2 linked regions of the Oreochromis niloticus genome follow. The protein of the gene in region 1 interacts with the protein of each later gene in a pairwise test. Links are inferred from orthologs where the notes say so. Each region holds a gene or a part of one and is shown in the gene's direction. Other genes may lie near its edges. The genes, in order: bcar1 and nphp1.

The links.
Region 2: the proteins of bcar1 (region 1) and nphp1 interact in a two-hybrid assay, tested with the Homo sapiens proteins (2 studies listed by BioGRID). The link is inferred for Oreochromis niloticus from reciprocal best matches to the Homo sapiens genes BCAR1 and NPHP1.

Annotation. Positions count from the first base shown.
Region 1 is NC_031972.2:39,743,736-39,747,660, forward strand, and holds the start of bcar1 (breast cancer anti-estrogen resistance protein 1), read left to right. Parts: upstream 1-923; 5' UTR 924-1,080; coding exon 1,081-1,119; intron 1,120-3,925. UniProt on the Homo sapiens protein: Docking protein which plays a central coordinating role for tyrosine kinase-based signaling related to cell adhesion. Implicated in induction of cell migration and cell branching. Involved in the BCAR3-mediated inhibition of TGFB signaling.
Region 2 is NC_031978.2:9,814,585-9,818,509, reverse strand, and holds the start of nphp1 (nephrocystin-1), read left to right. Parts: upstream 1-762; 5' UTR 763-963; coding exon 964-1,029; intron 1,030-1,445; coding exon 1,446-1,507; intron 1,508-1,867; coding exon 1,868-1,928; intron 1,929-2,185; coding exon 2,186-2,319; intron 2,320-2,548; coding exon 2,549-2,756; intron 2,757-3,386; coding exon 3,387-3,488; intron 3,489-3,710; coding exon 3,711-3,841; intron 3,842-3,925. UniProt on the Homo sapiens protein: Together with BCAR1 it may play a role in the control of epithelial cell polarity. Involved in the organization of apical junctions in kidney cells together with NPHP4 and RPGRIP1L/NPHP8. Does not seem to be strictly required for ciliogenesis.

The DNA of each region.
Region 1 (3,925 bases):
AGCTGTTTTCAGCCAACCAGTTATCTGTTATGAATAGTCTGCCAGCTATTTAAAAGTTCCTACCAAGATCATCTGTCATCAGGTTAAGCAATATCTGGCCACACCTGTGTGAGCCTGTCCTGTTCTCCAGGCTACGAAATCACTGCTGTTGTTTCTGTTGTTAGTCATAGCCTGAAGGCAGACATTCTTCACTTGCTAAAGCAGAAGCCTGCACTAGAAAGCAGCCAGGGCTGCTTGGAAATCCACCTTTTGTTGTACTCAGGCTGAATAGATTATTAAATTGGCATATTTAAGGGCACACCCCAGAAATCAAAAGATTTACTGAGGACTTCCCAAAAATATAATTTACACGTCACGGATGATCATCGGGTTTAACAGAGGTCTCCCAGAAACACTAAAACTGGGTTAATTGATCTCAGTGCATAAAATCAGTGGAGAGTTCCTTTTTACGCAGTATCCTTTTTTTTAGCGTCCTGCTTTTCTTTTCTTGAAGGTAATTCTTTAAGCTTTAGTGTTTAGTGATAAGCACAGCTGGTTAATTAAACTTATTCCATGTCAAATATAAGAGAACTCGGCGTTTACTCAGAAATACATATTTGGCGCATCGAACACTACAGCTCCTCACTAAAATGAAATAATATACAGTTTAACACATTACTGCAAGAGGAGTAATTCACATTATTATGGCAGATGACTCAAATATAGAGCCTTTTCCTTTTGTTTTGGGTCTGTGCACACGTTGTAAACATCACTGTCCTGCAACACACACTTTCCAGCTTCATCTAGATGCTCAGCTGGCTGGTGGGGTATTTTTTTCTGCTGGTACAAATCAGCCGTGTACGCACAACTATTTCACCATAATAGTTTGACATGCCAAGACAGGAAAGAAGGAATGGGGGAGGGAAGGCCAGACTGACGGTGGAAGAGAGGAAGGAAAGAAGCAGATGTTTGGAGCGAGAGATAGACAGGCAGAAAGAGAGACAGCAAGAGGAAGCCGTGTGGGAGAAGAGACGGGAAAAACGGTCAAAGAAAGGAAAATAGGACTGCTCTGCTGTTTTTTGTTGCTTTGTCAACTTCAGGATGAAATGCAGTGTGGCTGCTGTGCCGCTGGAATGTGAGGTAACAGAGGAGTTGTGTTTGTATGTGGAGGCTGTGGAATGCTGTCTTAAGTGGGACTCTGTGTGCGTGAGTTTGTGTCGGGGGCGGGGTTGGTTGGGGGGTGTAAGGACAGTTTGTTGGCAGGTTCTTGCTTGCTTCACCGATAACAGGCATATACACAAAAAACAAACAAAGAAACTAAAAAACAAATGTGCTTTGGCTGTAGAACCACACACAAAACTCACCAAAGTCAAAACACAGTTAGTGGAGTTAGCATAGTTAACAGTGGATTGTCCTTCCATGACCCTCATGCATTGCTGTATCATACTGTCATTTCCTTCCCACATACATGCTTGTGTCACTTCTTTGACATTTAAAAAAGTTCTAATATGCTAGTCGTTTGGTCAGGACAGCATGAGGCAGATGCAGCAAAAAGGACTAATTTATAAAGTACATATAAATTAGTGAAAGGACAGTAGTGCACTGTAGTAGTAGCACAAGCAGGGGAGGAGGGGCAGCAACCTGTGAGCACCTGGGCTATGAGGGCAAACAGAAAGATAGAAAACAAGGTATAGTTCAATTCAGTTTCCTTTATATTGTATATTTCTTTATTATTATATCCTCTGGGAACTTATTATTGTGAGGCAAAGACCCTACAATAATACAGAGAAGCACTTTGGCGACAGTGGGAAGGAAAAACTCCCCTTCAACCGGAAGAAACCTCCGGCCGAGTCAGGCTCAGGGAGGCGACGGCCATTTGCCTTGTCAGGTTGGTGGTCAGGGGAGGGAGACAAAATACATGCTGTCGAAGAGAGCCAGTGAATAATAACTAACAATTATATGTATAAACACATGGTGAGTGAAAAGGGGTGAGAAAATGAGAAACACTCGGTGCAACATATGAAGCCCCCAGCAGCCTAAGTCTATTGCAGCTTAACTAAGGGAGGATTCAGGGTCACCTAATCCAGCTCCATTTATATGCTTTATCAAAAAGGAAAGTTTTATCCCTTAACTCTAGAAGTAAGGGAGTCAGTGAAGAGAAGACTATACAGGAGAAATATGCTCTCTCTTTCTAGTCCCTGTCAGTACTCTTACTGCAGCATTTTGGATCAACTAAAGGCTTTTCAGCGAGTTTTTAGGATGATGAATTACAGTAGTCCAGCCTAGAAGTAATAAATGCATGAACTAGTTTTTCAGCGTCACTCTGAGACAGGATAGTTCTAGTTTTAGAGATATTGCACAAATGGAAAAACAGCAGTTCTACATATTTGTTTAATATGCATATTTAAGGACATATCCTTGTCAAGAACGACTCCCAGTTTTCCTCACAGTGTTACTGGAGGCTAAGGTAATGCCGTCCAGAGTAAGAATCTGGTTAGATACCATGTTTCTAAGATTTTCAGGGCCGAGTACAATAACCTCAGTTATACTTGAATTTAGAAGCAGAAAGTTAGCGGTCATCCAGGTCTTTATGTCTTTAAGACATTCCTGCAGTTGAACTAATTGCTGCGTGTTATCTGGCTTGATGGATATATAAAGTTGTGTATCATCTTTATAACATTGAAAATGTATGCTATGCCTAAACAGAACTGGTCCTAGCACTGAACCCTGTAGAACTCCATAATTAAACTTCACGTGTGAAGAGGACTCTCTGTTTGCACAAACAAATTGGAGTCTATTAGATAGATAGGATTCAATCCACTGCAGTGCAGTAGCTTTAATACCTACGGCACACTGTAATAAAATATATGGTCAACAGTATCGAACGCTGCACTGAGGTCTAGCAGGACAAGCACAGAGATGAGTCCACTGTCAGAGGCCATAAGAAGATCATTTGTAACCTTCACTAAAGCTGTTTCTGTGCTGTGATGAGCTCTGAAACCTGACTGAAACTCTTCAAATAAATCATTCCTCTGCAGATGATCTGTTAGCTGTTTTACAACTACTCTTTCAAGGATTTTTGATATGACACAAAGGTTGGAGATTGGCCTATAATTAGCTAAGACAGCTGGGTCAAGAGACGGCTTTTTAAATAACTGTTGAACTACTGCCAGCTTGAAGGCCTGTGGTGTGGAAAAATTGAAGGTATTTGTACATAATGTTATGTCTGTGAGATGGTTATGAGTAATTTTTTTCTCTGATGGTGAAATTTTATTTGGTAATAAACAAATGAAATATTTACTAGTTAAGGTCAAATGGAATGTTTCACTCAACTCAGCTCAGATTTTTTGTCAGCCTGTCTACAATGCTGAAGACAAACCGAGGGTTTGTGGGGAGAAAACAGGCAAGTTAAAGCATACAGCAGTGGCTGAGCCTCAGACAAAACTGAGGGATGGTTCAAGGTCACCTAATGCTAGGTGTCACCAGAACCAATGCTTGTGTTACCTTTCAGTATAGTGGCTAGCACTGTTTGCTCACAGCAAAAAAGTCCAGGGTTTGAATCCACCATCTGCCTGGGCCTTTCTGTGTGGAGTTCGCATGTTCTCCCTGTGTCTGTCTGGGTTCCATGTCCCCACTCTCGCCTTATGGCCGATGGGACTGACTCCAGCCTTCCTGCGACCATGAATAACCATGAATTCGATAAGTGGGTGAAAATGGATGGATGAATAGTACTGTAGGTAATTTATTTACCAACACTGCAGTTCTTCTGGAACAAGGGCCGCATGCCCACAAGTGTTCCAGTTCATCCTTAAGAATAACAAGCACCCAAAAAGCTAATGTAGCTGTCATGGAAGCTCTGCTCTGACCTGTTGATAAGAAAAGAGTAAAAGTAAGAGTCGGCTATAGAAGTACTTTGCATTCGAGGTGAAAGATCAAGGGCTGATAG
Region 2 (3,925 bases), on another chromosome or scaffold:
GTTACAGTGACGGCATGTTTTGAAATTATACATTTGAAATTTGGGGAAAAGAAAATGACAAGTGGTAGTGAAGGTAACACGCAGGGCAAAGGACGTAACGTACGCCCCCTGTAGGTGTTTTTGAAAGCACTTACACAACTGTGCATCGCAAGTGTCCTTTGAAAGAGTGATATAATTTTATATGGCGGAGCTGTAGATGTGGTGCTGGATGGGTTCGAACAGCCAAAAGCTGAGGATTATTGGGGGGGAAGGGAGGGTCACACTCGAGTTTGGAAGAGAAGTAAAAATATCAGTAATAACTTTTGTTATATTTTTGGGACATAAAACCTGTAAAAGCATCAAACAGCTAGCATTTAAAAACTGGTATTAGAGGAAATGCAAATATATTACATCAGAATTTGGAGAGTACTTGGATTTATATATGATTACAATCAATAATGGTAGTTTTGCCTTTTGATCCCAAATTTGGCCTTAGACCGATCAGTTTTTACCCTTATGGGACTGAATCTGAAACAAATGCGCATTAAACACAAACAACACCAACATTATGAAGTCGCAGTAACATCAGTAATTTTTCGAGGAATAGTGAGAAAATATACGATGATAGTTACCAACCACTTTTTAGGTTTTCCTACAGCTTCATCATCCAGTCCAGTAGGCGGCGGTAGCTTGATGTAAACTGCCAAAAATTGCGGGAAAAAACAGAAAAGCCTTTGTATTAATATCGCGTTAATTCAGTTACGAATATATATATATATTTAAAAAAAATACATAAGCAAAATATGCTGACTAAAATAAACCCACAATGAGCAGGGTTATGGGAAATTACATTGAAAATAAAATAAAAAAAATAATCCGAGGAAGAAGAAGTCAGTTGCCTAGCAACTGTTGGAAGCCTAGCGTCAGTTAGCAAGCTAGGAGATGAGCTAACACACGGATCGTATGACCCTAAAAAGTGTATAAATGCCACTAAAAAGAAGAGGACCTTTGCAGCTAGCTCAGAGAGAAGTGGATGAAATAAAAAAACAGGTCAGTTAAAGAATGACGTCTTTAAACCTAGGTGCGATTGCACCAAACTGCTTAGACTGAACGTTATACAGTTGTTGCACATGTACCCCCAGAGGTTTTTCGAAATGAAGTGATCCCGAGGCTTGAACGTGACTGTTTCTCTAAACACTTTTGTCTTATAAGCCCTTCACCGACGTGGCTTGCGCTAGCATAAATATTGATTAGCATCTGTTCGTAACAATTCATTGTGATGCACTGCTGTGAGTTAGCAATGTAAACATAGATAAAAACCGACATAATCATCAACATAAACGCTTATTGATGACGCCAACTTTTATTTGAACTGATGAAATATGGTTATTTTGCACAAATCATGTGCAATATGTATACCGTCCTGTGCAATTCTTAACCGTACATTGATTTAAACACTTTCACAGGTTGACAGTCTGGAGAAGGATGCCCAGAGTCAGGCTGGATCCACTGAAGAGGCCTTTCGAAGGTAACCAACTGTGGCAGAGCACCAGCAGTGCCCTTCCTTACTCTTAAGACAAGCACCCTCACCTGTTTCAACATTGAAATCCTTGTGTGTACTTATATAGCGCCTTTCTACTCAGTTGAGCACTCACAGTGTTTTCTGCTAAAAGTGTCACTCGCCCAGTCACGCACAAATCCATACAGGATTGTAACTATAACTAAGCATTTTCTAACAATTACACACATACTCACACTGCAATGGGTACATCAGTGAGTTCGCTATCAGTCTGCCCAAGGATATTTCAGCATGATGACCCTCTCTACCACATCCCCCAATCACCTACTTTATGGAATGCTTGAAAATTTGATATCTACTTGCAAACAGATGCCAAAAACTGCAAATGTCAGCAGAGGAGACACTAAGGACACTAAAGAAACTGAGCAAGGTTAGTTTTCTAATCTTTAAGAAACTTTTCAACCTTTTCAAATACTATTATTGTACACAGATTTAATATAATCTCTGGATGCCAACAATTGGAAGCAATCAGTGATATTACTTGACTAATATAAGTTGTTTTTATGAAGGCAATTGTCATTACTTACAGCACCAAATCTATATATTAATTTATCTTTGTGGAAAATGTTGCATGGTTGACAGCAGTGTAGCTAATTAGACATCATAAGCTAGTGCTTGATCTTTCAGGCTGATGAGCTGGCTCCAGTGGGGAATTATGATCAGAGGAAACAGGAAGAGGAGCGACGAGTGCAAAACATCTTGGAGCGTCTAAAAACTCTCTCTCTGGAGCTGTCGCCACCAGGACCTAGCACTGAAGCAGGGTTAGTGAAATGTATGCTAATTGCAAAGAAGGAAAACTGGGATGATAGAGTTTTTTTGTTGATCTGTGTATGTACTTTACAGTCCTTGCTGCAGGGGCTTGACTTCCCCACAATTTAATCTGCATGCTTCATTGCAAAGCATCAGTTTATCTGACAAATTCAATGACAAATGAATGACAAATCTGACCAAAGAATACCTTTTTTCACTTAACTATTCCCTGGTCCACAGTAATGTTTCAAAGGAAGATAGTGAAGATAGTGCTGAAGAAGACGATGACGAAGACAGTAACGATAATGAAGAAGAGCATGTAGAAAATGATAACAACACTGGCAGTGATGAGAGGCGAGATTTGAAACCGCCATCTCAGTCAGATGCTCGCATCTACATGGTCCTCAGTGATTTCAAAGGAGAGCAGGAAGGAGATCTGTCTGTTCGGGTAAAATACAAACAGCCTTGATGTCAGCAATATATTTAGGACTTTTAGAGCTTGGATTCTTTCCCCTTGGATGTTAAAAGCGGTATTGTATAATATTTAGTTTCGACAGAAGAGGGCGCTCTAGCCATCCAAATCCACCATCTGCAGTCTTGCAGGCGTGAATTAAGAAAAAAGTGTAATTTACATATTTCTGAAAACTATATACCTATTTAATTTTAAACATTTCTGTGATGTGTCTGGTGGACATGTGCATACAGTCTAGTGCACTGTAGTGTCATTTATAAGCTTTACTAATCATTATGTCCATCCATCCATTCATCTTTTTCCACTTATCCAATTTGATATTATATAAAGTAATTAATTTTTCAGAATGATGAATGATTTAAGTGTTTGAAATAATGTAAGGTCATGTATTTCTATATAAATATTTCAGAATTGGAAAGGGACAAAATGAATCTTATTCCATTGCCGGTTATTTTTTAATCAAGTACTTAACTGATTAGGAAGATAGGTTTATCCTCAAATCTGATTTCCAGACCTGCCTGTGATGAACTGTGTTTGATCTCATCTGTTTGTTACAAATGTGTGAGTTATGTGAACTACATGGTGTTCCGTGGCCTGTTGTTTCAGAAGGGGGAGGTGTTGAGGATTATCAGGAAGACAGCAGATGGATGGTGGCTGGCTCAGAACACTAAAGGCAGCAGAGGAGTGGTTCCAAAAACCTTCCTGAAGGTACAAAAACTGCAACGATAGCAAGTCCAACATTATGAATTTTCATTTAGACAAGTGTTTAGCTGAAGGAATTATAAAACATTACTGAGAACATTAAAATGCAGCCTGCAGCAGTTTTCTTTATTTATCGTGTTTTTAATATTAGTATAGACTGACAAAAAATGGAGATCATAACAGGATATGATTTCTGATTATATTTTAAATGTAACCATAATGTGTTAGATTGGCTCTAGTGTTGATGATGACGATGATGATGACGATGATTCAAAAGAAGATGATGATGAAAAGGAGGAGTCGGAAGAGGAGGAAGATCAAGATAGTGAAGAATTAACTGATGATCCAGACAAACGGAGGTTGAAAGTTTTTTATTTTGTTTTTATTTAACGGCATTAAACTTCCAGGATCTGTTTTTCCCTGCGCTTGAGAGACTTTGTTTA